4 linked regions of the Lepisosteus oculatus genome follow. The protein of the gene in region 1 purifies or fractionates together with the protein of each later gene. This does not show direct contact. Links are inferred from orthologs where the notes say so. Each region holds a gene or a part of one and is shown in the gene's direction. Other genes may lie near its edges.

Region 1 (7,368 bases):
GTATAGTATTTCAATTTATACAATATGGTTGCTCAAAGTTCTCATAATCTATAGTATGGTTTCAGTACAAAAATGAGGGGGGAATTGATATCAGAAAATAAATCGTCAAAAATAGAGTCTCGGAGGTTTATTTCTGGATATAATAAGTTCGCTGCCTGGTTTTACTCGCATTTAACTCATCCGTGGACACAAGAGTGACCTCTTCCATGCACGGGTATTCAATGTTGGTTTTGTTTGTTCCTTGTCACTTTCCGTAGAAAGTTCGGCTGTCTGACCATAATGTTTCACGGAGTGCGATAAAATTGTATTACGAAGTGAAATATGGGGTCGCTTGTTTTATGTGCGTTCAGAAATTTTAAACTGGAAAACTGTGCTCACAAACCTTCAGCGGCGCCTTGACCAAAGGCATTATACAGCAAATAAAAGAAATTCGAAAAACATCAGTGAGCAATTTGGCATTGACGAGGTTGTGTAACGTGTAGTGCATTAAATGGGTTACACAGACACAAGCGATGTTTTTTCATAGACAATTGTGATATTTTATCTCATGTACTATGCTTAAATAATGTTTCTTGTCGTACATACAGTCTTTTGATAGCCACTGTATGTATCACATGCTGCATAAATAGTTAATTCATGTTTGCCTTCTACCACCTTGAGGTTAAGAATACTTAATATTATTCTACTGGGTACAGGAACACTGATCTCTGACTGACTAATCTGCATTTTTGGAGAAGGCATACAGTAATATGTGTGGGACATGCAGCAGAGACGTGTTTTTCTGCTTATTTTTCCTCATTATATTCTTGTGGCCATAACCTTGCTCATGAGATGATTCTCTTGTTCATGTTTGTGTATGTTGTTTTCTGTGTTTTCTATATTGTCTGCTGCTGTAAACAATTGCCCATTCGGAATACTAAAGACATTTATTCCCTCGCACTTATTTTCCTCTTTCTTACATGTTGTAAACTTCTGGTGTTTCAATTCTTGCAGAACCCGATGAAGACAAAAATTCCAAGTAAAAATGAAGAGGAGTGCAGGCCTTGCAAATCCCGTGTAGTGGGAAACCCCTATGGCATTTTGGACATTAAAGACATCCCAAAAGGAAAACTGTCCATTGTGGAGGCCTTGACCGTCCTCAACAACTACAAACACTCTCCTAAATCTTGGACACCTAATAAAATAGCCCAAGAGTACTCTTTAGACTTAAAGGATACCAAGGCACTTCTGGAATTCTTCATTCTCTTTGATGTTAAAATTATACCACCAAAGACTGAAGACAAGAAGCAGATAAAAGCTAACTAACAGTCTTCATCACTGATCTGTTTTAGAAATATTAATGTAATCATCCTGGACATTTGTACAACATTGCTCAGGCTACAAGATGCAGTTCCTTGATTGGTTTTAAACGAGATTAGATAAAAATGATTAAGGAATAAAAACAATGTTGTAAAGATTCATTTTATATTTCATTTTATATCTGCCATTCTTGTATTGTAAAAGTGCTTGTATTTTTTGTGGTTGAATTAAACTTCATTATGTGTTGCTTTGTATAAGAAGTAATCCATATTTTAATATTGAATTAGTAAATAGCCACGAGCAACATATATACACAGGCTCTCGTCTTTTATTGGTTCATCTTTAGTCTCTTCTCGTCGATCCCAGATCAATTGAAACTGAATCTTTTATTCCCAAAGGCTTGTAAATGGAATTATTTAAACAGGTAGGCAAACAAACTTAATACATCAGAAGTCAGAAAAAAATATAAAATGCATCTTTTGCTATATTGAAATTAAATCTTATAAACTAGCACTGCTAGTTACACAAACCATTTTGAACATTTATTTTCTGAAGTGGTCTCTGCAGGTTTGGTGCTGTATGAAAAAAGCATGCTACGAAAGCTGCTACCTTATAGAAAGTTGCTATTATGTTATTGTTTTATATTAATTTCTGCAGTAGTTAAACATTTGCATTTTACAATGCCAAGATGATATGACCACAGGGTAAACTGGGAAAATATAGTACAGAAATTGTAAACAAACTGTCCTTGTAAATCAGATTTTTGTCCTATAGGCCTCTGATATTTGATATTTCTGTCAATTAGCAAGTAATCTTTTCTTTTCATAATACTGCTTGAAGAATGGTGTTGACTGTGACTTAACATATTCATCACAGGAGCATTGTCATCTAATTTTGAGGTGTGGCTCAATAATAATTCACATTCTTTCTCGTTATTTGCTGCCGCCTTCTGGTAACGCCTATTAACACCACTTGAAAGTTAGTGCTGAATACAGTGACCGTAGTGATAAACTCTACCAAAAAAGTGTTTGAACTCACGGGGACAGTGGGTCTGTAAAAATATATTTTTTTATTTAATTAAAAAAAACATTTTTTTATTTAGTCAACAGCTGCACTATTTCCTTTTATTGATCTACACCAAACAGCGAATTATTTCATTTCTGTTTTATATGGTTATTGGTTTGCTAAGCCAATTTGTGAGATCTGTGTTCACTAGCCTAAAAATCGAATTTAAACAATCTTAAAAGACAGACACATCCCCTAAACTAATAAAATACATTAACTGGCTTCCAGGAAAATTCTCCCGGTGTGAGTGTGTGTGCCCTGTGATGGACTGTCGCGTCCGTCCGGGATATATCCCTCTGTGCGCCCTTTGGAAAGGCTCTGGCTGCCCTTGCCCTGCTACCCTGAATTGGAAGAAGCTGGGAGCGAAAATAATTCTATATCTTTTTCTTATGGCCCAATATTTTATTTTTTCAAGATCCCCCCCCCCTCAAGTTACATATATTTGAAGTAAAAAAAAATATTTCACTTGAAATCGTTCCTCATTATTTTCAGTGCATCCATCTATCCATTTTCTAACCGTTTCATCCAAATACAGGGTCGCAGACACAGACATGCAACACACTCACGCCGGAGTATATGAGTATGTCTTTGGACTGTGGGAGGAAACCCACGTCGTGATCATGGGGACAGGGTGCAAACGCCATGCAGCATCTCAGCAATTTAACCCAGGGCCCCACCGTAGCGAGACAGCAATGCTAATGTACTGCACAGAGGAAACGCCCTACACAGTCATTTACAATTAAAATATATGTGCAAACGAATAGTTGCCGTTTACAATTGACAAACCTGCGGTGTCCCGAATCCTATCAATCGGTGATATTCTGAAATATTGTTTACCTTACAGATTATAATGTTGCATTTTATCGTTACTTATTAGCAGCTTAACAAACATCTGTTAGGTATAGTATTTCAATTTATACAATATGGTTGCTCAGAGTTCTCATAGTCTATAGTGTGGTTTCAGTGGAATTACAAGAATGGTAATAATAATAAACCTTATTTTATATAGCGCCTTTAAAGGTGGCTTATCAAAGCGCTTTACAGAATGACAACGACAATAAATTAAAAGAATACACAAGATAAAACACAATTACAATATACAGAGGAGACCGTGGATGGGGTAGTAGGAAAAGCAGAGGGGTGAAGAATGGAACCAGTTAAGTAAATGCTCTTCTAAAGAAGAAGGTTTTGAGTCTGGATTTGAAGGAGTTCAGAGAAGGTGACTCTCTGGTATCCTTGCGCAGAGAGTTCCAGAGCTTGTTGGCATAACAGGAGAAGGCCCTGTCGCCCATACAATGTAGACGGGCTTGGGGGACAGTAAGGAGGGCAGAATTTGAAGAGCGAAGGTTCTGATGTGGGGAGTAGGGCTATAATAGTTTAGACAGGTACTGAGGTGCCAAGCCATGCAGAGCCTTATAGGCGAGCATGAGGATTTTAAGGTCCACACGGAATTTGACAGGAAGCCAGTGCAAGGACCCCGGGATAGGAGTAATGTGATCACTTGCACTATACCTCGTCAGGATTCTGGCTGCCAAATATTAGACAAACTGGAGTTTGTTCAATGTGGAGTTAGATACCCCAGAAAGTCGAGCATTACAGCAGTCAATTCGAGAGAACACAAATGTGTTGATCAGCTTTTCACCCACAGTTAGTGACAGCACAGGGCGTAGTCTAGCGATATTTCTGAGGTGAAAAAAAGATGTTTTGACAATATGCTGCACATGTGGGTCGAATGTTAAGCCAGAATCGAATATCACCTCAAGGTTTTTCAATTTAGACAGAAGCTCAAGTACAGACCCATCTACGAATGAGGAGGCTATTGATATAAAAGAATAAATCGTGAAATACAGAGTCTCGGATGTTTATTTCTGGATATATTAAATTCGCTGCCTGATCTTACTCGCATTGAACTCATCCGCTGTGACACAAGAGTGACGTCTTTTATGCACTGGTTTTCAAGGTTGGTTGTGTTTGTTCCTTGTCCCTTTCCGTAGAAAGTTCGGCTGTCTGACCATAACGTTTCACGGAGTGCGATAAAATTGTATTATGAAGTGAAATATGGGGTCGCGTGTTTCACGTGCGTTCAGAAATTTTAATCTGGAAAACCGGGCTCACAAGGAGATAAGCAAATCCAAACCTTCAGCGGCGCCTCATCACCCTTTGACTAAAGGCATCATACAGCAAATTAAAGAAAGTAAGTCGAAAAACACCAGTGAGCAATTTGTCATTGACGAGGTTGTGTAACGTGTAGTGCATTGAATGAGTTACACAGACACACGCGATGCTTTTTCATAGATAATTGTGATATTTTATCTTATGTACTCTACTTAAATCATGTTCCTTGTTTAACATTTAACCTATTTAATGTAACGATATTTATTCTTGAAATATCAACATCATGTCAGTGACATTGAAGTCTTAGTAAATTTATTGAATATGCCAAGAATTACCAGTAAATTCGATGACCATTTCCCTTACTAGAGTATCGATTTAGATTTGTTAAGCTTTTTGCGACATCGTTAAACTGAAACAAGAAGAATTTTAAGTCAAGGGGTTTTATGTAAACTGAGCTGTGACCTTGTACTTAAGAATGCAGTATAAATGTGTGATTAATATTTAAATTTTAAAGTATTTTGAAAGGAAAATATTTTAACATTAACTAGGTCCACTTCCTGCAGTTGTACTTAACTAAACGAAATTTTAAACGAGGTATTCATCTCATACATGGTATAATTGTACATGGGGCTGCACTTGATGTACTGTTTTTTAATTGTTTTTATATTGGTTGGTCAATTCTGTAATTACCTGAACATTTGGGATGTTTTCCATGGGGGTAACCTAAAGAATATACTTAAGGGAAGTTCTGTCTTCACATTTCTGTAAAAAGAAGCAAAATGAGTTAAGGCTCTTTTTTCTTGTACCTGTTCTAACAAGGGCAGTATATTTTGTGCAGTGGTTAAAACTGCTGCCTCGCAACACAGGGGCCCTGGGTTCAATTCTGGATCTGGGGTGCTGTCTGTGTAGAGTTTGCATGTTCCCCCCCGTGGGTTTCCCAAGGATTTCCTTCCACAGTCCCAAAACATATTGGTTGGTTAATTGGCATCTGGGAAAGTTGGCCCTGGTGTGTGGGTGTGACCAGGATATGTCAGATTTTGAAAGCGTAAAGGAAAAAGCATATTTCCAAAACCCTCATCTATGTCTAAGGCTTCTGTTTCGCAAAGCTGTAGCAAAGCATAGCAGATGGTAAGTGCAGCACTTCACTTTATAGTTTGGTAAATCTATTGTGTTACAGGTGTGAAATAATGTCGACTCTAGAGAATAAACGTCAGCTTTAAAGACAAGAGAATTCTAGAAAATAAAACCTACTTAATTGTTTTCTTTCTCACTTGTTGATATAGATCCTGAGGCTACTGAATCCATCAATAAGAAGAATGAGCATCTTTTGTCATTACTAAAGACAGTATATGTGGAGTCAAAAGACCCTCCCCAACAGGTAAGAACAGTTTTGCTGGAATGCTTATCCCAATGTGAAACAAAGCCCTGTTCACTTTTCCCAGACAAAATATAGCCAGGAGCTCACAGTCTCCCTTGATTAATTAACTCTTGATTCCCATTTTCCCCCAATTTATTCAACCCATATGAATAATGTATTATTAATAATAAATAATTGCTTACACTTTTATAGCACTTTTCTGAACACCGCACTCAAAGCACTTTAAAGTTAATTGGGATCCCGTCCACCACCACCAGTGTGCAGCCCCACCTGGACAGCAGCCATAGTTCACCAGTACACTCCCCATGCACCAGCTCTCAGTGGGGAGGAGAACAGAGTGATGAAGCCAATTTATAGATGGGGATTATTAGGAGGTTATGATTGGTCAGGGGCAATGGTAAATTTGGCCAGGACACCGGGGTTACACCCCTACTCGATTCGAGAAACACCCTGGGATTTTTAATGACCACCGAGAGTCAGGACCTCAGTTTTATGTCTCATCCGAAAGGACGGCTTCTTTTTACAGTATAGTGTCCCCATCACTATACTGGGGCATTAGGACCCACACAGACTGTAGGGAGAGCACCCCCTACAGGCACCACTAACACCTCTTACAGCAGCAGCCTTAGTTTGCCTCCCATCCAGGTGCTGACCAGGCTCACACTTGCTGAGCTTCAATGGGCTGACAGCTGTGAGTTGCAGGGTGATATAGTTGCTGGAATAATAGTATTGTCACTTTCAAAAGTATTCTCCCCCTTGATTTTTTAGATTTTGTTGCAATAAGAAATCAATGGGATTTTTTGCCATTTATTGACACAAAACATTATAATTTCAAAGTGAAAACAAAATTCTACAGCTCTGCCTATATTAATTTAAAAAATAAAACAGAAAATAACTGATTCCAGCAGTATTCACCCCCCTTGAAATCAAATAATATTTGTTAGAGGCACATTTGGCAGAAATTACAGCTGCGAGTCCTTATTTGATAGCCAGTGTACAGTATGTATCACTTCAATTGTTTATTAATGTTTGCCTTCAGCCACTTTGAGGTTAAGAATACGAAATATTATTGTACTGGGTAGAGGATCACTGATTTCTGAGTAACTAATCTGCATATATCATAATATATGTGGTACATGCAGAAGAGGTCTGAGTGATATTCTGCTTATTTTTCCTTATTATTATCTTGTGGCCATAACCTTGCTTATGAGATGATTCTCTAGTTCATGTTTATGTGTGGTGTTTGTTTTCTGTGTTTTCTATATTGTCTATATTTTCGATATAGAAAAAATGCCCATTGGGATTACTAAAGACATTCATTCCCTCTTTTTCTCCTCTTTCTTACATGTTGTAAATTCTTGTGTTTCAATTCTTGCAGAACCCGATGAAGACAAAAATTCCAAGTAAAAATGAAGAGGAGTGCAGGCCTTGCAAATCCCGTGTAGTGGGAAACCCCTATGGCATTTTGGACATTAAAGACATCCCAAAAGGAAAACTGTCCATTGTGGAGG
Region 2 (7,948 bases), on another chromosome or scaffold:
TGTGCAGTGTACTATGAGCTTCCAAGGGTCCTGATGATTTCATAGCAGTATTTGTTTTTTAAATGTGTTTTTAATGCCTGCCGTCATTCAATCAAGAATGTGTTAATTCTTTACGTGAGTACATGAAGCCCAACTGAGACCACCAAACTCTTTCTCCTGCTCATAATTGAATTCAAAGTCACTGATCTTATATGCTGGTTAGCCAGCTATACAAAAATATGTTCTGCTCCTGTCCCCGCTAGGTGGGATTGCAAATTTAGCCGTGAATGTCACTTTAATCTCAAAGTTTCTTTTATTCCATTTTTACATTTTGTTTTTGGTCTGAGCCGATTGCTCTATATGAGGGTAGGGCGTCTCCCATAAGCTCCTGTGAAGAGTTTTTGATCAAATGCAGAGCAGCTCAGCCAGAACCACATACTACGAGAACAATTTCAGGCCCTGAGAACACTGGCAAAAGTTAGTACATTCCAAATCTGAGAAGGGTATAACAGAACCACTAGTGTGGAAATTGTGATTCCTGGAGATTTGTTATGATAAACTTTACCAAGATTGTGTAAAACCATGTTGTAATCAAACAGACTACCAGAGATAAATACAGTACAACAGCCCTGACTTAACCCCTCTTGTGCTGGTATTATTAAACCAGTTCTTCTGCCAGACAGACGTTTACTCTTTTCTCTTTGCATTAAATGTTGTAAAAGAAATTAAGAACATTAACCACTAGTTGAAAGAAGATTACATTGATTATTTTTTAATATTTTTTTTTAATTATTATTTTTATTTAACTGAAGATTAAAGTGGTGTTTTAGTCTGGTGACATAGCTAAGAGACAAGATATTGTTACATACAGTAAGATACTTAGGTTGATTAATAAAATGATACATCTCAGTATTCATGTTTTATGAGTATTTTCATATTTATGTTTTAAGTACTTTAAGTGCATATATTTCCCATCTGTTTCTATGGGGTTTCCAGTTTTCTAGGGAGTAATTTTTTAAATATTTTAGTTTTTATGTGTTTTCCATCTAGCCATCTATCCCGGCAACCAACTGGCCCAAGGCAGGGTACCCCTTGGATGGGACGTTTGTCTATCATAGAGCAGACACACAGACACAAACGCACACTCATACCTAGGGCCAATTTTCCTACAAAGACAATTAACCTACCAGTTTGTTGTAGGACTGTAGGAGGAAACCAGAGTACCCAGGGGAAATCCAGGCAAACATGGGGAAAACATACAAACTCCATGCAGTTGGCAGGTCCCTTTCACTGTCCATTCTGAATAAATATGCAAGGTTATCTTTGTCAGTATATTCTGTCATTTAATGTTATGTATTCTAGCAGACTGTTTGCCATTTTAATTCCTTTCTCACATTGTGTAGAAGATGTAAATAATGTCTCAGAAGACACCTGTATGCAACTTTTTCATAGGTTACCTCTTCTTTCGCAGTGTTTCCAATTTTGTATTAAAAACTTATTTTTCTTTACTGGATGTAAAATCCCACACTTGTCTTCATTAAGCATTATTTTCCAGTTGTGTTCCCAATCTTTACATTTTATTTAAACCTTTTGGAATTTAATTTGCAGGTTTTACAGTGTTTGCCAAACCTCCTTAAGTGGTATCATCTACAAATAATTGATCATTGATATAAATTAAGAAGCGTAGTGGTCCTAGTACAGATTCCTGTGGTACTCCATTACGTCACCCCATGTTGTGTTTTCACACTAATGTATATCCTCTGTTTTTTTATTTAATAACGAATTTTCAATCCAAACACTAGTGTGTCTCCAAGTGTCATTGCATCAACTGAGCACTTGCAATTTAAGAGTTAATTTTTAATGAGGAACTTAAAAAAAAAAACTTCTGGAAATCTAAGTACACTGCATCATATACTCAGTTGGAGCTAAATTTGCAGTGCTTCAAATTTATTTATCATTCTTTACTGATTTCATATCTATCCCATTACATTTTACTTCTCATAAATTTGGTCTCATTCCTTCTAAGTCACCTTTCTAGATATTATAAATTTACAGTCTCAAAATATACCTCAAAGCACAATGATCACAGTTCCCTCATGGTTCTCTCATTTCTTTTGCACATAAATTCTTCAATTCGTTATGTGGTGTGGCCTGAGCCTAACCTGTGTATCATGCAGCAGAAATGTGTTAATGTGTCATACATGACTTTAATTGCTTTGAAAATGAATTATAGCACAGCTTTGCAAAAGCAGCAAGGTGCTGCAAGGTGCTGGTTTTGAGAAATCAGGGCCCAGATTTCTAACCAGGCTCTGGTTAATATTAGCATCCGAAATCATCCGGCACCAGCTCGCCTGCTGAGCGAGTGTCTGAAGAGATGTATGTTGCACTGTGAGGATGAGTATCCTAGACCTGGGAGATGAGGTTTAATTTGACAGGCTCATCTGAAAGGTGTTTAATCACCATTGCTGCCATAGTCCAGCATCACACGTCATCCTGATCACAGGACTGCCTACCTGTTAGCAATTTTTACAGCCCTGTTATCCTGTAGACATGAGGTGGGCGAAGCGATCTTCCAACCTTACATACTGTACTAAACTCCCTGCATCTCCTCCTTCTCATTCTGCAGGTGTCAGTCTTGGCATTATCGTATGAATAAACGCATTACAAGAGCAACGAATGCTACTGGTGCTAATGCTCATTTATTGCATTTTAATGCCTCTGGGTATAAATTTGTGTATTGCTGCACATGGTACAACATCAGTTCCTGACACTGGCACACATAGATCAGCTCAGCAATCAATATAGAATTCCATTTATCACTGTCTGGAAGGATCCCATAAAGATAATATACTGGCTAAGTTAGTTCCAGGCTCCCATGATCCTTTTGTTTAAAGAAAGGACCCCTGGGGCATATAGTAACTCTGAGCTGACCTACTGTAGCTACTGCCTTTTGGGATTTGGAATACAGCATAATCTTTTCTGTTCCAGGCAAAAAGTCTGACTCCCTTAATTTGTCTGCGCATGAGACTGCCTTCAGTAAAAAGTTAGTTTGGTTGCTCTCTTTTTTACTGCTCTAGAACAGCAATGTCTTGATGAGTGGTGACCGGAGTATACACTGTACTCCAAGTGAAGTCTAATGCATTGTATAATTTAACCTGACACCCCATCGATTCAAATAATACATTCTTCCTATATCAAAGTTTTGTTGGCCATTTTATCGTTTCTCCAAAGTGCCTAGCTGAAAAAAAAAAAAAGTTAACCTAAACGATCTTGCTCGGGATTTCTTCTTCCAGTTCGGTGCCACCTGTCAGAAACTTGAATTTTGTGTTTATAGTCATGCATGTATTAACATACTTTTATCCATTCAGCAGCACAAAATGAATGACAAACTTTTATTTCATGTCTGTTTTATCCTCATTCTCTTTTCAAGGCGTTATTTTGACTTTCCACGATTTTCATCGATTTACCTCAAACTAGGTCACTCGCTCTCGCGTCTTAAGCTCATTTTATATCCCTGTAGTTTCGTCCTCCAACAATAGGTGGCGATCTAATTATTTTCTGCTTCATATCGCGGAAACTTTCTCTTTAATTCTGACAACAAGCTTTGACATTGTGGGTTTCCCCGAGAAGCTGTTCTGGATAAGGTATAAATGTGCTTGAGAACGTTATGTCTGAATACATTCGTTAAAGTGTATCTGATTAAAGTTTAAAATCAATTTTCTTAATATCAGCGAATATGAGCCGTAGATGTGATGCGACTTAAGTGGTGTATAATATTTTTGTCGCTGTATAAATGTTATTTCAGGTACACAGATAAGTAGGTCGCTCTTTTCACACACATGCTTTAGCTTTCTAAAGTCCATTGTATTTGCTTCCGATTATTTTAAAGATAATTAAGCTCTTGCACCGGTAGCATCGCCTGTTCTTAAATTCCTTTCTGAAATGTATGCTAGTGGAACAGCTAATATCAGTATTATTAATTTTATACGTTCATAAATACTATTTCTATGGTGAAAATGAAAATTTATGCAACCTGTACATTGAGCTATAGTAGCATTTTTGTCATAATTGTAAAATGTATTACTAGTATAACCTTGAATTTTAAGTGGCCTGACCTTGACTTCCAAGTGTGTTTGCGTCTATATTATTAATTTGATTGAATACAGAAATACGTCTTACATTCTGCAGTATATTGAATTGAAATTTGATTACAGCCATTGCTTGAATTTTAGCCTATCTGTGGTGTACAGGTGATGCAAATTGAAGGTGTCTCATACAGTTGTGTTAGAAATATAAACAGACTAACGCAAAACAAACTTTTAGATGATGGGAAATTTTCTCAACTTTGAAGCACGATATTTCTCAGATAAGGTATTGCAGTGTTGTATGTTAATATTTTACAGTTTTGTTTTTTGATTGCTTTACTGCATATTGATAAGGTAACAAAATGAACTTGAATACATGTTACATTTGCTGGTGGGGAAAAATGATAGTAACAAAAATTAATGATGCACAGGTGCATTTCAGTAATATACAAGTACATTATTAACCGGTTTCTGTCTCAGCTGCTGATAAATACATTACAAATGATAAACTTTCTGGAAGAAATACATTTGTTTTACTTATTTTTAAATCCCGGAAGGGTAAGAATTAAAGTTTAAAAACATTCCAGAAGTATTTTGCTTTACAACACCAGAAGTCCAATTTCTAAAATATTTGGTGTATTTCAATATTTGTTTGTAGTCTTTCATAACAAATTAGAGTTACACACATTAGTTATATTGCGCTACAGAGTTTCATCTGTAGTGAAAACACAGATTTTAAGTTTGGGAGAGAGAAAAGGGTTCTGAGAAATAAGGCTGAGAAAGCGATGATCTTATGTTTTAGTTCAGAAGAATGTTGTTTTAGAACAGTATAAATATTAAACGAGCAATAACAATAAGCCAGTGACAGGGTTGGAATGTCCTCGGACCATGTCACAGAACAACTTCCAGGTGAGTGGGATAAGGCCTAACTCTTAGAGAGGTGAGTGTCTCCCAGGCAGGAGCTGTCCTGAAGTGGGTCAATACTGTATGTACAGTAAACCTCTTTGGGATGAAAAGCACAATGTCAGTTCCCGTTCAAGTTGTGAGGTGGCTTTGTGGCGTTTGTGACTCATGGTTTTGTTTGTGAACACCTGCCTCTCGGTGTAAAGAGATTGTGAACCAGCCAGCCCGTCCAACTAGTCCTGATATTTTTAATAAGAATCAAATGCAAATCACTGCACTCATGCGCAGGTGATTGAAATACCAGACCCACACCATTCTCAGCGGGAAAAATAAAGACGCTTAAGGGTATCCTCCTATCCGTCTGTGCTGGGTAACATTACTGCAGGAGCTTATTAAGAAACGTATTTGTCGTGAAGGGCTGTCTCATACCTTCACCTGACCTCCCAAGAGAGGAGGTCTTTCACACCTGTGGATACTGTACTGTGCACACATTTATTCATGTGTAGGTTACTCACCTGTGCATCTTGTCCATGCCATCCTGGAACTCACTGGGAGACGGGGACAGTATTGTTAGCATGACGCTGGAGCGGGGAGCTGAGTCAGCTGGCTTGGGCTGCAAAGGAACCAGGAAAGGTCAATTTAATACTGTGAAGTTGAAAGTAGAAACCGGTTGTCTGTCCAGCCTTCTTTTTTCTACTTTGCACAGTGGATGTAACCTTTACTTGTTCCTAAGCATTATTACCTTATTCATAATTCTTATATTGACATTATTGTTATTTTGAATTGTTTCTTGTTGTCTTTTCATATACATGCTTCCTAAGTTTATGTATTAACTGTTGTTGTGGATCCACAATCAGTCCGTATTGTTGTGTTTGTTGTTGTCCTGTCCATTGCACTGTTCCATGTTGGGTTACGGACCCCCAACCCACCTCTGGTTTTAAATAGGTTTTCAGCTATCCATCAGGGGGAGGTACTTAACCGGGCACGCACAGATTCACAGTCAGTGATAGTTTAGTTCTAGTCAAAAGTGTGACTTCAACCTTAAGCAAGCACACCTTGTCTTTGTGCTGTTCCCCAGCTCAGTTTTTCATAAAGCCTGTTAGCAGTGCTAATAGTTTGGCTATTACCTACGTTTCTCCTGTTTTTCTCACTTTTGTAAATATTTTTCTGCAGTGGAACACATTTGTGCACTATGACTGTGGATGCCCCTGTCCTGCAAGGGGGTAGGTTAGTCACATTTACAGGTATTATTCATTCACCTTAATGGGTCCCATATAAAGCGGTTCTTAAGAGATCTTTTATTTGTCCTATTACACGAGCTTCTTAATAAATCCTTAGACGTTTCATATGTACATTTGTATACACATACCTTAATCCTTAATACACAAACATCAACTAGGCATCCTTAATCCACAAATGCTGCAGTGAGTGATGATGCCCTCCTTCAGGAGTTTATGTTCAGGATTTTAAAGAGCCATGTGGTACTTCAATAAAACTGACTGGAAGATAATCCTCCTAAGTGCTTCCCTTCAGATGCACCCCTCAAACAATCCAGCGTTCTACTTAATGGGTCCCATATAATTATTTACATAATTAGATCATTTAAACCTCATCAGAAATGTTAACAGAACTTCTAATTAGGTTTGGCCAAATCAGCATGGGGTGCATTTTTATTCCAGCCATCAGCATAGCTAGGCCACCCAACAAGGAGACCATTGACAGAAAGGCTTGTTAACATCTGTGACACATTAGGATGGACTGTATCCTATGGTTAGAGAGTGTGAGGAGCACAGACGTGCTGTAGGTTAAATAAATCTTTTGCTTACACTGACAAAAACTCAAACAGCAGCTTTAATGAAATATATAAGATGTACAAGCAAAAGCTACGTTTAGCCTTGTTGTGAAACAGGAATGATTCCATGTTGGTAAGATGGAACAAAAAAAAGTTTTTTCTTGGTTCTCCAGCTCAAATGGGAGTGATATTATAAAAGGCTATTTACTTCGAGTCTTATTCCATCAGCCGTCTGGTTGTGCTCAGTTTGTGCTTTTTTTCCCTAAACCCACCACCATCCCCCCCAACTTTGGACTTTTTTTCTCACTGTCTTTTTTTTTCTGATTAGACAAAAACAAATTCTTACATTCACTAAAACGAATTAAAACACGAGAGAAAAGATTAATTCAATAACTTCCTACTGATATTCTTAACATCCATGCCATTCAAGTTTGTCTCTAATGGGCCTCAAACATTCCTATACTCAATAAGTTTCCCCTGTACTGTAAATTATATGAAATCTTTTCAAATTTAACTTGTGATACAGCCACTTTAATCCATTCTTTGTATGACGGTCCTTTACTGTCCACCCATTTTCGCAGTATTATTTTTTAGCAGTAATACAGAGTCAAGAAAGTATTTTTATACTGAATTGCTGCTTTAACCTTTGATAAATCACCAAGGATACATGTAATGGGAGTAAGTGGAATTGAGATATTTAGGTACCTGAGAGCTTTCCCCACTGTGGAGGTTCGAGCTTGAACATTAATTACATTTTCAAGCTGCATGACATCCCTGAAATTTTCAGCCTTAAAAAAAACATCAGAAATGTAGGCTGACAACAGTTTGACATAGGCCCAGGGGCTCTGCTTGCCTTGAACACAGAACTTGGTGAAAGCCTGGGCGGCCCAGTGGAACATTTTTGAGCAGCAGTATTTATAATCTGCATGAGATGTCAAGTATTCATTTTAGAGTTAACGTGCAGCTTGCTATGCTGGTTGAGAGATGGCAGTGGAAGTGTTGTGGGAGTTATCTGCAGCTGTATGTTTCCAAAAGGCATAAAAAAAGAAGCTCTTTCATTGTGGCTCCTAACTGTGTTACAGGCAGACTGGGGCTGCTGCGGTGCGATGGATCGCCAAGGGCTCCCAGCGAGCATGTCCGCATGTCCTCGACTTGACAAGCCTCCGCGGGGCTCCTCCTACTCCACACT
Region 3 (7,844 bases), on another chromosome or scaffold:
GGCTCTGTCACCGAGTTCACAAACGCAGCCCCTGAGCACCGCCTCGGTCTTTATTCCCGTGTTCTGCTTTGTCTCCCGACTGCTTTTCCAGATCACACCCTCGCCATCCTTCGCGATACTCTATCACGACCCCCGGATTCGCCCTTGTGCTTCGCTACAGTGTCTCCTCAGTTCCGAACCTTCGCTTGGTTCGGGTTTTGAACCTGGATCCGCCAGCAACACGCTCAGTTGCCCCGGCCTGCTTCAGCCACACACTCTCTGTGCCCGTGCCCCACTGTGCCCGGTTCCTGTGACACACAGCACTGCCCAGCTGTTCGCTGCCAGCACACTGCTAGAGGCTCTCCTGCGTCACAGCTGCCTCTCGCTCAGCTAGTGGGTCCTTAATGCTCCCACAGCTCGGGAGCGGTCAATACAAATGCACTACGCCTCACTGCTGGCTGAATGAAATAAGAGGTACGAATTTAACTAACAATCCTGTGCTGAGACAAACTGCTGTACACCCCCATCACTCAGCCAGTCTGTAATCTAATAAATTTAACAAAGTCTAGAACAGAGCTACTCAATCTGCAGCCCTTCCAGTCAGCTCCACTGCAGTACTTTGCTTGCGACCAGCTTCTGACCTGCTCTATTGATCTCGCTAATTACCACTTCAATAATTACAAGTTGCAGGTCGCAGCAAAACTGTGTGACGGGGCAGACTGGAAGGGGACAGAAGAGGCGTGGCCCTGCTCTAGTGTTGTTAGGGGTTTGTGAACTCCCTGTCACAGACCTTTCACTGCCAACTACAGAAGTATTTTTGAAACTGTTTTGACATTACTACCCTATACTGCACCACTTTAGGTATAGGATACTACACGATACTCTCAGTATCGCTGTGCTGACAGTCAGGTCAGCTTCACCTCTCATCCATAAAATATACTATATCCTTATGTTCTCCACTTGCCTTATTCAACGCCAATGTTAAGACTACTTAATAACATGTCGGGGGACATCTTTAAAATATTCAAAACCCATATTGACTTTTTCAGGTGTCTGAACACACAGTCTGAAGACACCAGATGCAAAAGAAAACAGGCCATTTGCCCCATCTAGCTTTTCTGGTTGCCAAGAGCTAATCAATCCCAGGATCTCATCTCAGAGCCAGAGTATCGGCTTCAAGAACACGGATGGGCACTCGTTCCAGACCCCTACAACTTTTTGTGTAAAGAAGGGTTCTCCTGCTCGCGATTTTAAATGCACTTCCACATAGTTTCTACTTTTGTCTTCTGGATCATTTTTGTCATATATTGCAAAGAAATCCATCGAAGACGTCTGCTGAGCTGATGATGCTCTTGATGATTTTGATACTAAAATCTAGTCTCCCTGACATCTTTACCATTCAATCGCTCAGTTCCTTCACCCTCCAGACCAAAACGTTGCACTTTTCGGGACCTATTACAAAGCTCCTTTTTTTTTATCATGTGGTGACCAAAAATTGACACCAAATTAGGCCATACTGGTGCATTTTACAATTTTTCACAAAAATCACAATTTAAATTCAACACAATATATAGAATAACTATTTCACTGTTGTGGTTTGTGCCTCAGGTGTCACAGTGCTGAGCACTGTTGCCTCACAGTGCTGAGGCCCTTGGTTGAATTCCAGACCTGGGTGCTATCTGTGTGGAGCTTTCCTTATGTTCACGTTTCCCCTCGTTTCCACTGTCCCAACACATACTGATAGGTTAATTAGCTGCTGTGAGTGTGTGGTTGTGTGTGGCATCCTGACCAGGGTTCATTTTTACTTCCACAAACCTATTGTTTGGAAATACAGTGTAATGACACAGCTTGACTGAACTCTGCTTTACGTACTTTCTGAACATGTCATGACTGCTCACACTAAACTTTCCAGTTCTTCCACTAGCTTAACAGTGGTGCTAGCCCATTCCTTACGTGAGATACGAGCCAAAGCAATTTTTTACAGCATTGTATGTTAAACTACATACGAGCTGTTGAATCAACAGAGCATTCTTCTTGTGTTTGGCATGATTTCAGTCCATTCCAGAGCCACCAGCTCGTCGGGCCACAGCCCATCCTGGGTTCTGCATCAGGACAGCAGTTCACCACCCTCAGCAATGTAGATCCCCCCCCCACAGATACAGCTGTGTGGACTAGGGCAACTTGGGTATAGTACCTCACTCAAGCTACAACAGCAGTGTCTGCAATAGGGACTCGAACCCACAGCCTGACAGTTATGAGGCCAAAGGCTTACCTGCTAGACTCTTCTGCCCAAGATGTCCCTCTGCTGCTTGTGGCTCTGTGATGCATGCTAAGCCAGATGGAAATATATCTGGCAGGAAGTCCCTGTCAGAGCAAACTGGTATCCCCACAGGGGTCAGCTGTAAAGAACGGGGCCATCGCCACCCTGCCTGAGTTCCTGACAATCTTGTGGTAAGTTAAAGATGAACTCCCACTCACTGTTGATAACAATAATAATAGTTAACTACCATCCATAAAGTTTACAGAGGCACCATTCATAAATCCCAGAACAATTGTGTTGAGTTCTATTCAGTTACTATGTGATGCAGAGCAGAGATCTGACTCTGAACTTGTGTCCAGGGTTCGAAGTCCCTGCTGTGCCCATGAGTAAGGAGTGCCTCTCCTGCTGCGGGGGGGTGGGTGTTTTAGATTTTAGATGCTTGTTTCTACTACTGTTTCCAGAATTTATTTTCACCTCCGTACTACCGTAATACTATGGACAAATTCTAAAGCAAATCCTCTTATATATATATACACACACAACTCTACACTAAAAAGAAGCACACAAAAAATCTGCTCTTTTAAGGTAAAACCGGGCACCACAGACATAAGCAAAAACGAATTCCGTTTCAATACAAGGAGAACTGTTGATTTTGAGCAGGTGGTTACATCTACAAGGTACACTACAATACCAAATGTCTTATCTGCATTAACATGAACTACCACCAAATACATGAAGATAGAAGGAAACACTTCTGGGAAGGTAAACTTTTTTTAAAAGAAAAACAGACTGTAGCCTGCCTGAAAGAAATGTTCAGACATGGGTACATTTTAAAGATTAATTTACCAACCAGTTCTTTGCTGTTTGCTGAATATAAGGCAGAGGCTTGCAATCGAAAATTACGTTAATTTAACCACAGATACCCACAGACTTTTTCCAGCTTTATGCGATTAAAAAAGTAACAGCCCCTGAATTCAGCGAGCTTTCTGCTTTCCCATTATAGGCCCATTTTTTTCAAGGTGATGCTCACAACGTTCAGAAGTGGCAAAGGACAGTACGACATAAATCAGAATTCAAAGTAGCGCAGAATGTGTTCCTTGTAACACAGTGCAATGATGACTAACTTACAACGAGTATTAAAAGCAAAGAGGAAAACCAGCGTGCAGTTGTACAGGTTGAACAATTACAAAAAAAAGGCAGTAAACTTTTTCACGATTTACGTTTCACAAAAAAACATGCATCGCTATGCACTAGCGTTCTTGCTTCCCTTAAGAAATTCAGCACCACTGATTTCTCATGCCAAAACACTGGGGAATTAAAAAAAAAACTTCCCGCATCCTCTCACGCCCGGAACATCAAGACTACAGAAGCTCGCAGCAGGCGAAGCGAAAGTTGGAGCAGCAGCGGGCAAGCGCTGTGAACTTGCCTCCTGTACAGTGACCTGCACACCTGGCGCCTACCGCTGCTGCTTGCCCGGGTTCGTGCACTGCTGTCTTAAGGCACTCCGAGCTCGTAATAAATGCATCAAATGTTAGAAACTCGGGTTTATCACATCATTTGATTGGCTGCAGATGAAAAGCCCTCAATGCATGTTGCACTACATCAGAACGCCCAACAAACTGATGCTTAGCATTGCTGCTGTCCCAGCACGCTACAAGGCAGCCTAACACCGAAAAGCAGTTATTCCGAGCCTCCGCTAACTGTTCCAACAGCCCGCCAAATGCTTTATTTGGACCGGTTGTTTTCAGCACAGTAAACACCCAAGTGAAAATCCGCATGCACGGGTTTTTTTTTAACAGAGCAACTAACCAAAACTGCCCGTCTTTGGACCAAGCAAGCCGGCAGCAACCCCATGACCGTCAATCCGAGCTCAGAATCTCGGCTTGAAGGTGCGAAACAATCTTCATTCCTCTACTGCCAACAAATTCCTATTACTGACCTGGTTCCGCTTCCTATACAAGCTACTTTCAGCGCCGTCATAAACACTAATTCCAGCACACGCAAACCTGAGCTTTTTGCAAGCTGAATGTCTCCATATCCATGGCTTTCGGTGTCCATATTTACACTGCGACACTCACGCTTTCTACAGATCAAACCTCTTACTACTGTTTTCGTTAATTTCGTGCGCATCCCGTCCGAAATTAATTCTGCCAATAATAAAAGAGCATTTCACACGGATTCCGGCCGTGATGGCCCATGCTTTTGGTCTTTTATTTTAAAACTAGGTGTCTGCGCTAGGGTAACACCAAGAAGTCTTGGCGACTTCGTGCACACTAGACTCGGTTGCACAGACCCAGCTGAATCCGAGGATGCAAGAGGGCCTGTGGCGCGATGGGTTTCTGTCTCCAGAACTGATCGAACCCAAAAGGCGCAGAGCAGAGGACAAAGAGGTTCTTACTTGATCCAGGTTATCGTCACTAGCGCTGTCTTCGGAGTCGGAGTCAATCACGACCCGTCCTTTCCGCTTCTTCACGTTCACCATGATTGCTGTGAGGCCGGAGCTGCCTGGCGCTGCGTCGGGATAAAGACGAGCCGAGAGGCGCCCCCTCTGCAGCACACAAAGGCGCTGGAGCTCCACTGCGCATGCGGGCGCCTGCGATCTCACGCTTCATTCGCTGGGACCTGTCGTAAGACGTCACCCGTGACGTGTGATACGCGATCGTGATCAGTAGGACAGACTGAGAAGGTCTTTCCAGGTAGGAATGTTATAAAATAATACTTTCTAAAGCAGATGTTAAAGAATATTACTTGTTGATTGACTGACTCATGTGAATTCTTGATACCTCTTTAAATACGTATTTTAGTTAGTACAGTAGATATGTAATAATACGGTGTTACTTTTTAATTTAAATGAAATTGTTTTTATAGAAGTGACACTGTGATACTGGATATGACTGGAGCCTATCGCATGTTGTTACATTTGACCACTTATTAAGGAGTGCAATTATTAGTCAATATATAGATGTAATCTCAGATTCACTAGTAGTAGTTCGTAACAGTAGTTATAGGCTTAGGAACTCAATGTGCTTGCAAAATGTTACCGGGGGACGAGTTGTCGCGACGGACTGTACTTGAAAAACAAGCTGCAAGTATAGTGGAGGCACGTTTATCAAGGTAGCATATTTTTCATAGTGTAAGTATATGGAAAGAGGGCTGTTTATTTTTGGTATCTATATTTTTTCATCTTTACCTGAAGGTTTTAGGTTAATTTACAAGACAATTTGCGTAACGTGCATACAGAACGAAGTTTAAGGGGATCATTTCAGTTAAAAGACGCCAGTTTTATTCAGGAAAGATCACTTAATAATAATTGCTTATACTTATATATCGCTTTTTTGGACACTCCAGAAACTTACTTCACATAGACATAAATTAGACTTTGGACAAATCCTTATTAATTGTAAACGTCGGATTGTGAAGTATACATAGTTCCAGCTCTATTCTCCACACTCTAGTGCAGGTAAACGGGGATGAGCCACATCTTAAAACTTTTTGGACGTGCGCCGATTCATTTCAATTCAAGTCTGCTTTCCGAGGCCAAAAGGTGCATTTGCTGTTACATTGATGTAGTAAAACCTGAAACTAATATGTAGAAATAATGGTAGCAGACATGCACATTATGACATTTGTTCAGACTCTTTTTTTTCATCTTCTCGAATGCAGTACAATAACATAAGTAATAGAATTCCCTATTTTTTTAAAAAAATATATATTTTATCGCCATTTATTTTTCTCTAAAAGTATAGAGAAAGCCAACAGTCGAATTATTCGTGCACTGGAGAACATAGTAAGACTGCACTCATCACTTCTCCTGCTTCCGTGCTGCTACTAGTACGTTAGGCTTCATCATGCTCTCCGGTAGAATCATAAGGCCCTTGCAGTGGTGTGCAGGACATCAGGGATTAGGGATGCCGGAGCATTTTTCATTTTTTCCCCTCTTTAGATCGGTGTTTCAGCACATGTAGAGCTGCAGCCCGTGCTGCAGGGAAGCCGGCTGCAACAGTGTAGACGGACTCGCTTGACGGACGATGGCTCTGTCCACATCGACCCGGCTCGGTGCGTGTCGCCTGGGCTCCAGGCTCACGCCCCCGTGTTGGGGCGTAGTGTCTACGCGAGGGGCTGCACAGAGCTATCGGAGACCAGGCCAGCCTCAGGACAACACGCCGCCTTGGAAGAAGATCCGCTTTAGCTTCCCCAAGGGGGTGGAGGGCGTGAAGAAGCATTTTGGGCTGCTGAAGCAGGAGATGGTGGAGCGCTGGGTGGGGCCGGAGGGGAGGAGCCTCAGGGAGCATATGCTGGAACAGACAAAGTTGTTATGGGAATTCAGGGGTCCAGAGAGCCTGGAACAGTGGGTAGTGTCCTCGGACCAGGAGATCGGAGGGAAGAGTGAAGCATACCTGAAGCTGGGGAGAAACAACCAAACCTGCCTGCTGTATGGCACTCTGTATACAGCGCCTCCCAGAGATGGGGAGACACGGTACAGCGGCTACTGCACTCTGCGCTCCAGACAGCCACTGGTCAGTACACACAAGCAGTCTGGTAGTCAAGGGCAATGTCTGGCCACACTGCCGTTATGGGAATTTACATCAATGTTTTGATTGATTTGGGAGTTGGTAATAGTTATCAGTTAAAATACAAAGGTATTTGTATTATCTCCTCTCTAGACTTCTCAGGGCACTACAGTCCTTGGCATTTAATGCCATTAGCACTGGCCATAGACTCCGTATTATGATCTTAATTACTATCAGTTCCTCTACTTCTTAAGTAGTGTTTTCATGGTATTTACACTATATTCTGAACTGCAAATATGGCAGACTAGGCTATTGGAATATATTAAAAATGAGATTTTAATTATTCAAGAGAGGTAGATAGAGTTCCCCCAAGACAGGCCCAAGTTAATTTCCTAAATGACACGTTGGCAAGAGACAGGATTGCAATGTTTGCCTAGTAATGCTGGTAAAAATATTTCCCTGTAGAATGCCTTTGATCGGAAGAAGCACCACGACTGGTCCAGTTTTAATACTCTGCACCTGCGCATCCGCGGAGACGGGCGGCCGTGGATGATTAACATTGCTACCGAGACCTACTTCTCCCACCAGAGAGATGACATGTACAACTACTTCCTGTTCACACGCGGCGGACCCTTCTGGCAGGATGTCAAGGTAAGACGCACACATCTCAGAGGATTACAATCATTTGGTCTCATTTCCATTTGTTAGTGGAGGAGTTAAATTCTATACCTGGATTTGTTCAGTCAAGCTTTTTAAAAATTAATTCACTCTTTTCATATATACTTCATTAGCTTGTGACTTGCACAAAGCCTTAAGGTAGGGGTCCTTAATCCTGGTGCTCTAGTACTAGTATGTTTCACTCTAGCTGGGCTCTTAACCTAAATCAGACTCATTATTGGTTTAATTGGACCATAACTATAGGTACAGAACTGGGATCAAGACTTTCTTAAGGGAATAAAAATCATTATGTACATTCAGTCCTTTCTACAAGTTTAATGAACTGGTTTCCTTTCCAGATTCCATTTTCAAAGTTTTTTCTCTCGAGCCGGGGAAGAATACAAGACAATCAGCACCCACTGTGGTTAGATAAGGTG
Region 4 (6,932 bases), on another chromosome or scaffold:
AGCACTGACCTTTGAACTCCGAACCCTGCTGAGCCTGACACATTGGCTGATTGATTGACAACAGTAGGGCAGGACATCCCCCTCACCTGGCAGCGAGAGGACAGGAAATCATGAGGCATGATGGAGGGAGAGACTGAATGTCAAACAGACGCAGAGATGAATAGACGTCCTCTCAGAGAGAGACACATGGGCTGACACACAGAAACAGACCTGAAACAGAGCCCAATTCAAGTTCAGTGGCACCTACACATCTATCATGGCCAGCAGTCAGGACACTGGGGTCAACACCCCTACTCTCACTGACAGTGTCCTGGGTCTGTAATGACCAGCAGTCAGGACACTGGGGTCAACACCCCTACTCTCACTGACAGTGTCCTGGGTCTGTAACGACCAGCAGTCGGGACACTGGGGTCAACACCCCTACTCTCACTGACAGTGTCCTGGGTCTGTAATGATCAGCACTCAGGACTCTGGGGTCAACACCCCTACTCTCACTGACAGTGTCCTGGGTCTGTAATGACCAGCAGTCAGGACACTGGGGTCAACACCCCTACTCTCACTGACAGTGTCCTGGGTCTGTAATGACCAGCAGTCAGGACACTGGGGTCAACACCCCTACTCTCACTGACAGTGTCCTGGGTCTGTAATGACCAGCAGTCAGGACACTGGGGTCAACACCCCTACTCTCACTGACAGTGTCCTGGGTCTGTAATGACCAGCAGTCAGGACACTGGGGTCAACACCCCTACTCTCACTGACAGTGTCCTGGGTCTGTAATGACCAGCAGTCAGGACACTGGGGTCAACACCCCTACTCTCACTGACAGTGTCCTGGGTCTGTAATGACCAGCAGTCAGGACACTGGGGTCAACACCCCTACTCTCACTGACAGTGTCCTGGGTCTGTAATGAGCAGCACTCAGGACTCTGGGGTCAACACCCCTACTCTTACTGACAGTGTCCTGGGTCTGTAAAGACTAGTTTTACTCAGTACCTGAAAGCTGAGCTGATATGACATTTCTTTCAGACACAGATGCCCTTGTCTCAGCATCCTGACCACAGCTCTATACAGTATTCCATACAAAGGCTTTACCAAAACTACACAACAACACCAACAAGAAACGAATCACAGAGGAGTTTTGTTGTGAACATAGGTAAGGCCACAAACAAGAGTAAACCCTCCTCAAGCCATGAAGCCCTTCTGACTGTTAGTAGATAATAGATTGATAAGCTTCCTCTCGGTCAGCTGATACACAAACGTAGTCTTCAGTTTCGCTGTTAAGCGTGTGATGCTCAGATTGACATGAATACTTCTCCCCCCTCTGATCCACTCTCTCCGTCACTTAACTCTCCTCCCTGTAACATCAAACTCTGGTGGACGTTCAAATTCCCTGAAGCAAAATAGTGACAAAACCAATTTTACTGGTGGGCAGCGAATGTCAGCTGGAAAAGCCGGAGAGCTTCACAGTAATGGCAGAAGGCTTCTCCACGCAGGCAACAGCCCTAGTCCAGAATCTGGGAGTCTCACTTGATCCTCTCCTGACCTTTGAGCCTCATGTGAAAAATCTAATAAAGACATCTTCCTTTCACATTAGAAATATGGCCCGCATTAGGCGATTTCTATCAGTGTCTGATGCTGACTGCCCGATTCATGCATCTATAATATCAACTCCAATTCTTTACTCCTAACACTCTTCTCAACAAACTGCAACATGACCAAAACTGCAGCTAGACTACCAGCTCAAACCAGACCCTGGCAGCATTTCACTACTACACTCACGTCTCTACATTGGTTGCCTATAAAGTCACGTATTCAACAGAAGATCCTGTTACTGACTTATGCAGCTCTGAATGATCTGGCTGTATCATACATCTCCGAATTTCTCCATGTTTGCACTCCCTGCCATAGGCTCTGTCCAGTTTGGTCTGATCCTTGATCACTGCTCCCGAGATTAAATCTTGGACTTCTGACCCTGCCTTTTCTGTCGCTGCTCCAGTGGAATACAGTAGAATGCAGTTCTACAGCGCAGACAAATTCTCTGCTCTGACTCTTCAAATCCAGACTCAAACCCCATCTCACCTAGGGCCTGTCTGATTGCCTTAAAACCTGTCTGTATGAAACTGTATGTTCTTCTTTATTTTTTTCATTTGACTGTTTTTTGTCTTTTTCTTTATCACTATGTACAGTGCCCTTGGGTTTGGAAAGGAGCTTTATAAATAAAAACTAGTATTATTACTATTGCTGATACTCAGCTGAGTAAATTACTCCTGCTTCAGCAGCATGTACCACTTTTAGTGATGATATTACTACAAGGCTGCTCACAGTTCTCCCAACACTGGATATAACAACAGAAATAATATCTTACAGATTCTGCATCCAGGATCTTCCTGTCACAATTCACTCCAGCATAGCAGCCCTCAGAACGCCTCTGCACACTTTAATTAAAACACTCCTGCTTCGTTAGCCGAGATTTAACCACAGGGGCTGACGTGCCAGGAAACGTCACTCATGCGTCATTCTCAGGTAATAATCAAGTGTTAATTACACTGAGTTACACAGAATTCTGGATTCACAAAGACCATCTCCTCACTATCTGCCCCAATCAGAATTCCAGTATTTCACTGTGTGTGTTAAAACAGTACAGACACTGACTGGACACTACAGGACATTAACACTGCACTGAGAGAGAGGGGTTAATACAGTCCAGACACACTGACTGGACACTACAGGACATTAACACTGCACTGAAAGAGAGGGGTTAATACAGTACAGACACACTGACTGGACACTCCAGTACATTAACACTGCACTGAGAGAGAGGGGTTAATACAGTCCAGACACGCTGACTGGACACTACAGGACATTAACACTGCACTGAGAGAGAGGGGTTAATACAGTCCAGACACACTGACTGGACACTACAGGACATTAACACTGCACTGAGGGAGAGGGGTTAGTACAGTACAGACACACTGACTGGACACTACAGTACATTAACACTGCACTGAGAGAGAGGGGTTAATACAGAGACTGAGATAGAGGGGGAACTGATCTCTGAGGTACTAATAAAGAAATGTACGAGGTGAATGCTTTGGGATTTCATAATCAGCAAAATGTTCATTTCATTAGCTTAGTTGCTAACAAACAGCAGTCAGTGTCTGCTATTGCCTGCAGTCACCTTTCGTCCCTGGAAAGCGCAGGGGTAATAATTACTGTGATGGTGAGCAACAGAACCCAGGTCCAAGGTTCCTGTGGCAATTGTGTTCACCACGGTGTAGGAGAGGCACTGCTTCTGGGGATCAGCACAGAGACGAGTAGTGACGTTCTGTGGATTGAAGGAATGTTCTACTCTGACAGTCTGAAGGAATTGATTATCTTCAGTATTGAATAGAGAAGACTATGATGGGACCCTAAAACACACAGTCTCCTCTTTACACAGGGGGTGGTGGGGGTGTGAAACAAGTGGCCGAGCCATGTTGTTGAAACCGATACCCTGACTTCTTTCAAGAAACAACTGGTTCTTTACACTAAGGGTTGAGGGAGTGTGGAACAAACTGTCCAATTACATTGTTGAAGCCAATAACCTAAATTAAATAGAAAAAATGGCTCAATGGATAGGAATAATGGCCTCCTCTAATTTTTAACCTGTTTCATGATGTTATGAAGACAAAAAGTGCAACAAAATAAATGTGCCTTTCTATAACAATTCTGTAACAAAAAGTTGTTTTGACTCAAGATTGAGTCTTAGGTTTCTTTTCAACAGCAGGCATTCACCACACTCACTTTAGTCCTTTTTCGAACTACTTAAGCTAATACAGTGGGAATGATTCTCCAAAGAAAATGTATTCTACCTTACGTCGGCATTTTGACACACCCAAAATGGCGGACACCGCTGACGGCCGCCATCGCCCTGTCCAATTACTTCTTCCGTTCTGGCGAGAACTTCCGGTAATGTCCGCTGTTCTGGTTGAGGAGGCCAAATAGCGACAGGTTGGTGACTTTGTTGACGCTTTTGCAATTTTATACCTTTTAACACTCAAATCTGACCGTTTGAATCTCCCTGACAAAAAAATTATGCGACTTATGCATGTCGAAGAGCTCAGGAAACGGCTTTGGAAAATACCGCAGCTCGGTGTTTTTAGTGACATAACCGGCAGATGCGCTGTGAGTCATTGAACAGTCCTTGAGTGCTCTGCAGCAATGTCAATGTTCTGCCTGTCACTGCTTTCAGCTTTTAGTTTTCTGAAAGTTCATTCTATCGGGTTTTCTACTGATATCTCTATCCGAAATATGAATTATGATCAGCAAGGCAACCGTGTGTGAGTGTGTGCCGGTATAGTACAGAGAGACTGTGTGTGTGATTGTGTGCCGGTATAGTACAGAGAGGCTGTGTGTGTGAGTGTGTGCCGGTATAGTACAGAGAGACTGTGTGTGTGATTGTGTGCCGGTATAGTACAGAGAGACTGTGTGTGTGATTGTGTGCCGGTATAGTACAGAGAGGCTGTGTGTGAGTGTGTGCCGGTATAGTACAGAGAGGCTGTGTGTGTGAGTGTGTGCCGGTATAGTACAGAGAGGCTGTGTGTGAGTGTGTGCCGGTATAGTACAGAGAGGCTGTGTGTGATTGTGTGCCGGTATAGTACAGAGAGGCTGAGTGTGAGTGTGTGCCGGTATAGTACAGAGAGGCTGTGTGTGATTGTGTGCCGGTATAGTACAGAGAGGCTGTGTGTGTGATTGTGTGCCGGTATAGTACAGAGAGGCTGTGTGTGTGAGTGTGTGCCGGTATAGTACAGAGAGGCTGTGTGTGTGTGCCGGTATAGTACAGAGAGGCTGTGTGTGAGTGTGTGCCGGTATAGTACAGAGAGGCTGTGTGTGAGTGTGTGTGTGAGTGTGTGCCGGTATAGTACAGAGAGGCTGTGTGTGAGTGTGTGTCGGTATAGTACAGAGAGGCTGTGTGTGTGTGAATGTGGGCCGGTATAGTACAGAGAGACTGTGTGTGAGTGTGTGTCGGTATAGTACAGAGAGGCTGTGTGTGAGTGTGTGTCGGTATAGTACAGAGAGGCTGTGTGTGTGTGAATGTGTGTCGGTATAGTACAGAGAGGCTGTGTGTGAGTGTGTGCCGGTATAGTACAGAGAGACTGTGTGTGAGTGTGTGTCGGTATAGTACAGAGAGGCTGTGTGTGTGTGAATGTGTGTCGGTATAGTACAGAGAGGCTGTGTGTGTGAGTGTGTGCCGGTATAGTACAGAGAGGCTGTGTGTGTGTGAATGTGTGTCGGTATAGTACAGAGAGGCTGAGTGTGAGTGTGTGCCGGTATAGTACAGAGAGGCTGTGTGTGAGTGTGTGCCGGTATAGTACAGAGAGGCTGTGTGTGTGTGAATGTGGGCCGGTATAGTACAGAGAGGCTGTGTGTGTGTGAATGTGGGCCGGTATAGTACAGAGAGGCTGAGTTGTTGATGGGGTCTCCTGTTTCTGTTCTAGACATGATGTCTGCAGCTCTGCGTGTGCTGTACTCAGCCTCTCGGGCAGGTAAGACTGACTCACACTCCTCTCAACAGACTGACGGAGAGGCAGTGATCGATAACGAGACAGGTCCGACAGACAGGTAAACTCACAGGTGGACAGGTCCACCGATAGAGAGACGGACAGGTAAACTCACAGGTGGACAGGTCACAAGTGGACAGGTGTATGCACTTGATTGGTAGGTTTGTCTGTTATTATTTTCTTGTAAGTTTACTGTTATTGTTTTTCCCTTATTTAGGCAGGGTGTCTGTCTGTCCCATGCTGGTGCGTCCCTTCAGCCTGTCTGTTCACAGAGAGGGATACAGTGAGTACCCTTCCTAAGTCTTCTAAGTCTTATTTCCTGAGCTCTGTACCTGTACTTCATTGGCTGTGTGTACAGTATATAAGCTTGTCGATATCCATGTCCCTCTGTCACTCTTGAGATCGGAATGTGAGTGCTTGCACATTTGTCTCTCTAGAGTATGTCAACGCTCAGGAGCTGCCCACAGACATGAAGTCAATCACAGACAAAGCTGCTCAGACCTTGTTGTGGACAGAGCTCTTTAGAGGTGAGAGCCCCACTTTCCCTCTCAGTGCAGTGTTAATGTCCTGGAGTGTCCAGTCAGTGTGTCTGGACTGTATTAACCCCTCTCTCTCAGTGCAGTGTTAATGTCCTGTAGTGTCCAGTCAGTGTGTCTGGACTGTATTAACCCCTCTCTCTCAGTGCAGTGTTAATGTCCTGTAGTGTCCAATCAGTGTGTCTGGACTGTATTAACCCCTCTCTCTCAGTGCAGTGTTAATGTCCTGTAGTGTCCAATCAGTGTGTCTGGACTGTATTAACCCCTCTCTCTCAGAGCAGTGTTAATGTACTGGAGTGTCCAGTCAGTGTGTCTGGACTGTATTAACCCCTCTCTCTCAGTGCAGTGTTAATGTCCTGTTGTGTCCAGTCAGGGTGTCTGGACTGTATTAACCCCTCTCTCTCAGTGCAGTGTTAATGTACTGGAGTGTCCAGTCAGTGTGTCTGTGCTGTATTAACCTCTGTTTCTGTCTTAGGGTTAGCAATGACTCTCAGTTACTTGTTCCGGGAGCCAGCCACTATAAATTACCCATTTGAGAAGGGTCCACTCAGCCCAAGGTTCCGTGGTGAGCACGCCTTGCGCCGGTACCCCTCAGGAGAGGAACGCTGCATTGCCTGCAAACTATGTGAGGCCATCTGTCCAGCCCAGGTACTGTTCATAGTGTGTAGTCAATCAATGTGTTAATCTTGTACTGTATTAACCCCTCTCTCTCAGTGCAGTGTTAATGTCCTGTAGTGTCCAGTCAGTGTGTCTGGACTGTATTAACCCCTCTCTCTCAGTGCAGTGTTAATGTCCTGTAGTGTCCAGTCAGTGTGTCTGTACTGTATTAACCCCTCTCTCTCAGTGCAGCGTTAATG

Evidence for each region.
Region 2: the proteins of NADH dehydrogenase [ubiquinone] 1 alpha subcomplex assembly factor 4-like (region 1) and timmdc1 purify together in Homo sapiens (affinity purification with mass spectrometry; 3 studies listed by BioGRID and IntAct, with this or other methods). This does not show direct contact. The link is inferred for Lepisosteus oculatus from reciprocal best matches to the Homo sapiens genes NDUFAF4 and TIMMDC1.
Region 3: the proteins of NADH dehydrogenase [ubiquinone] 1 alpha subcomplex assembly factor 4-like (region 1) and ndufaf1 purify together in Homo sapiens (co-immunoprecipitation; 3 studies listed by BioGRID and IntAct, with this or other methods). This does not show direct contact. The link is inferred for Lepisosteus oculatus from reciprocal best matches to the Homo sapiens genes NDUFAF4 and NDUFAF1.
Region 4: the proteins of NADH dehydrogenase [ubiquinone] 1 alpha subcomplex assembly factor 4-like (region 1) and ndufs8a purify together in Homo sapiens (co-immunoprecipitation; 3 studies listed by BioGRID and IntAct, with this or other methods). This does not show direct contact. The link is inferred for Lepisosteus oculatus from reciprocal best matches to the Homo sapiens genes NDUFAF4 and NDUFS8.

What each region holds. Positions count from the first base shown.
Region 1 is NC_090697.1:6,378,065-6,385,432, forward strand, and holds the start of NADH dehydrogenase [ubiquinone] 1 alpha subcomplex assembly factor 4-like, read left to right. Parts: upstream 1-4,359; 5' UTR 4,360-4,422; coding exon 4,423-4,558; intron 4,559-5,762; coding exon 5,763-5,857; intron 5,858-7,235; coding exon 7,236-7,368. Other genes in the region: ndufaf4 (NADH dehydrogenase [ubiquinone] 1 alpha subcomplex assembly factor 4), read left to right, coding at 322-390, 994-1,305. UniProt on the Homo sapiens protein: Involved in the assembly of mitochondrial NADH:ubiquinone oxidoreductase complex (complex I). May be involved in cell proliferation and survival of hormone-dependent tumor cells. May be a regulator of breast tumor cell invasion.
Region 2 is NC_090710.1:18,098,618-18,106,565, forward strand, and holds the start of timmdc1 (complex I assembly factor TIMMDC1, mitochondrial), read left to right. Parts: upstream 1-4,937; 5' UTR 4,938-4,952; coding exon 4,953-4,973; intron 4,974-6,154; exon of another isoform or gene 6,155-6,169; coding exon of another isoform or gene 6,170-6,190; intron 6,191-7,841; coding exon 7,842-7,948.
Region 3 is NC_090703.1:20,233,985-20,241,828, reverse strand, and holds the start of ndufaf1 (complex I intermediate-associated protein 30, mitochondrial), read left to right. Parts: upstream 1-4,842; 5' UTR 4,843-4,935; intron 4,936-5,265; exon of another isoform or gene 5,266-5,372; intron 5,373-6,182; 5' UTR 6,183-6,267; coding exon 6,268-6,756; intron 6,757-7,215; coding exon 7,216-7,401; intron 7,402-7,766; coding exon 7,767-7,841; intron 7,842-7,844. Other genes in the region: RNA polymerase-associated protein RTF1 homolog, read right to left, coding at 4,638-4,721. UniProt on the Homo sapiens protein: As part of the MCIA complex, involved in the assembly of the mitochondrial complex I.
Region 4 is NC_090701.1:42,437,914-42,444,845, forward strand, and holds the start of ndufs8a (NADH:ubiquinone oxidoreductase core subunit S8a), read left to right. Parts: upstream 1-3,915; 5' UTR 3,916-3,989; intron 3,990-5,476; 5' UTR 5,477-5,478; coding exon 5,479-5,524; intron 5,525-5,756; coding exon 5,757-5,822; intron 5,823-5,976; coding exon 5,977-6,066; intron 6,067-6,550; coding exon 6,551-6,723; intron 6,724-6,932. Other genes in the region: red-sensitive opsin, read right to left, coding at 10-86.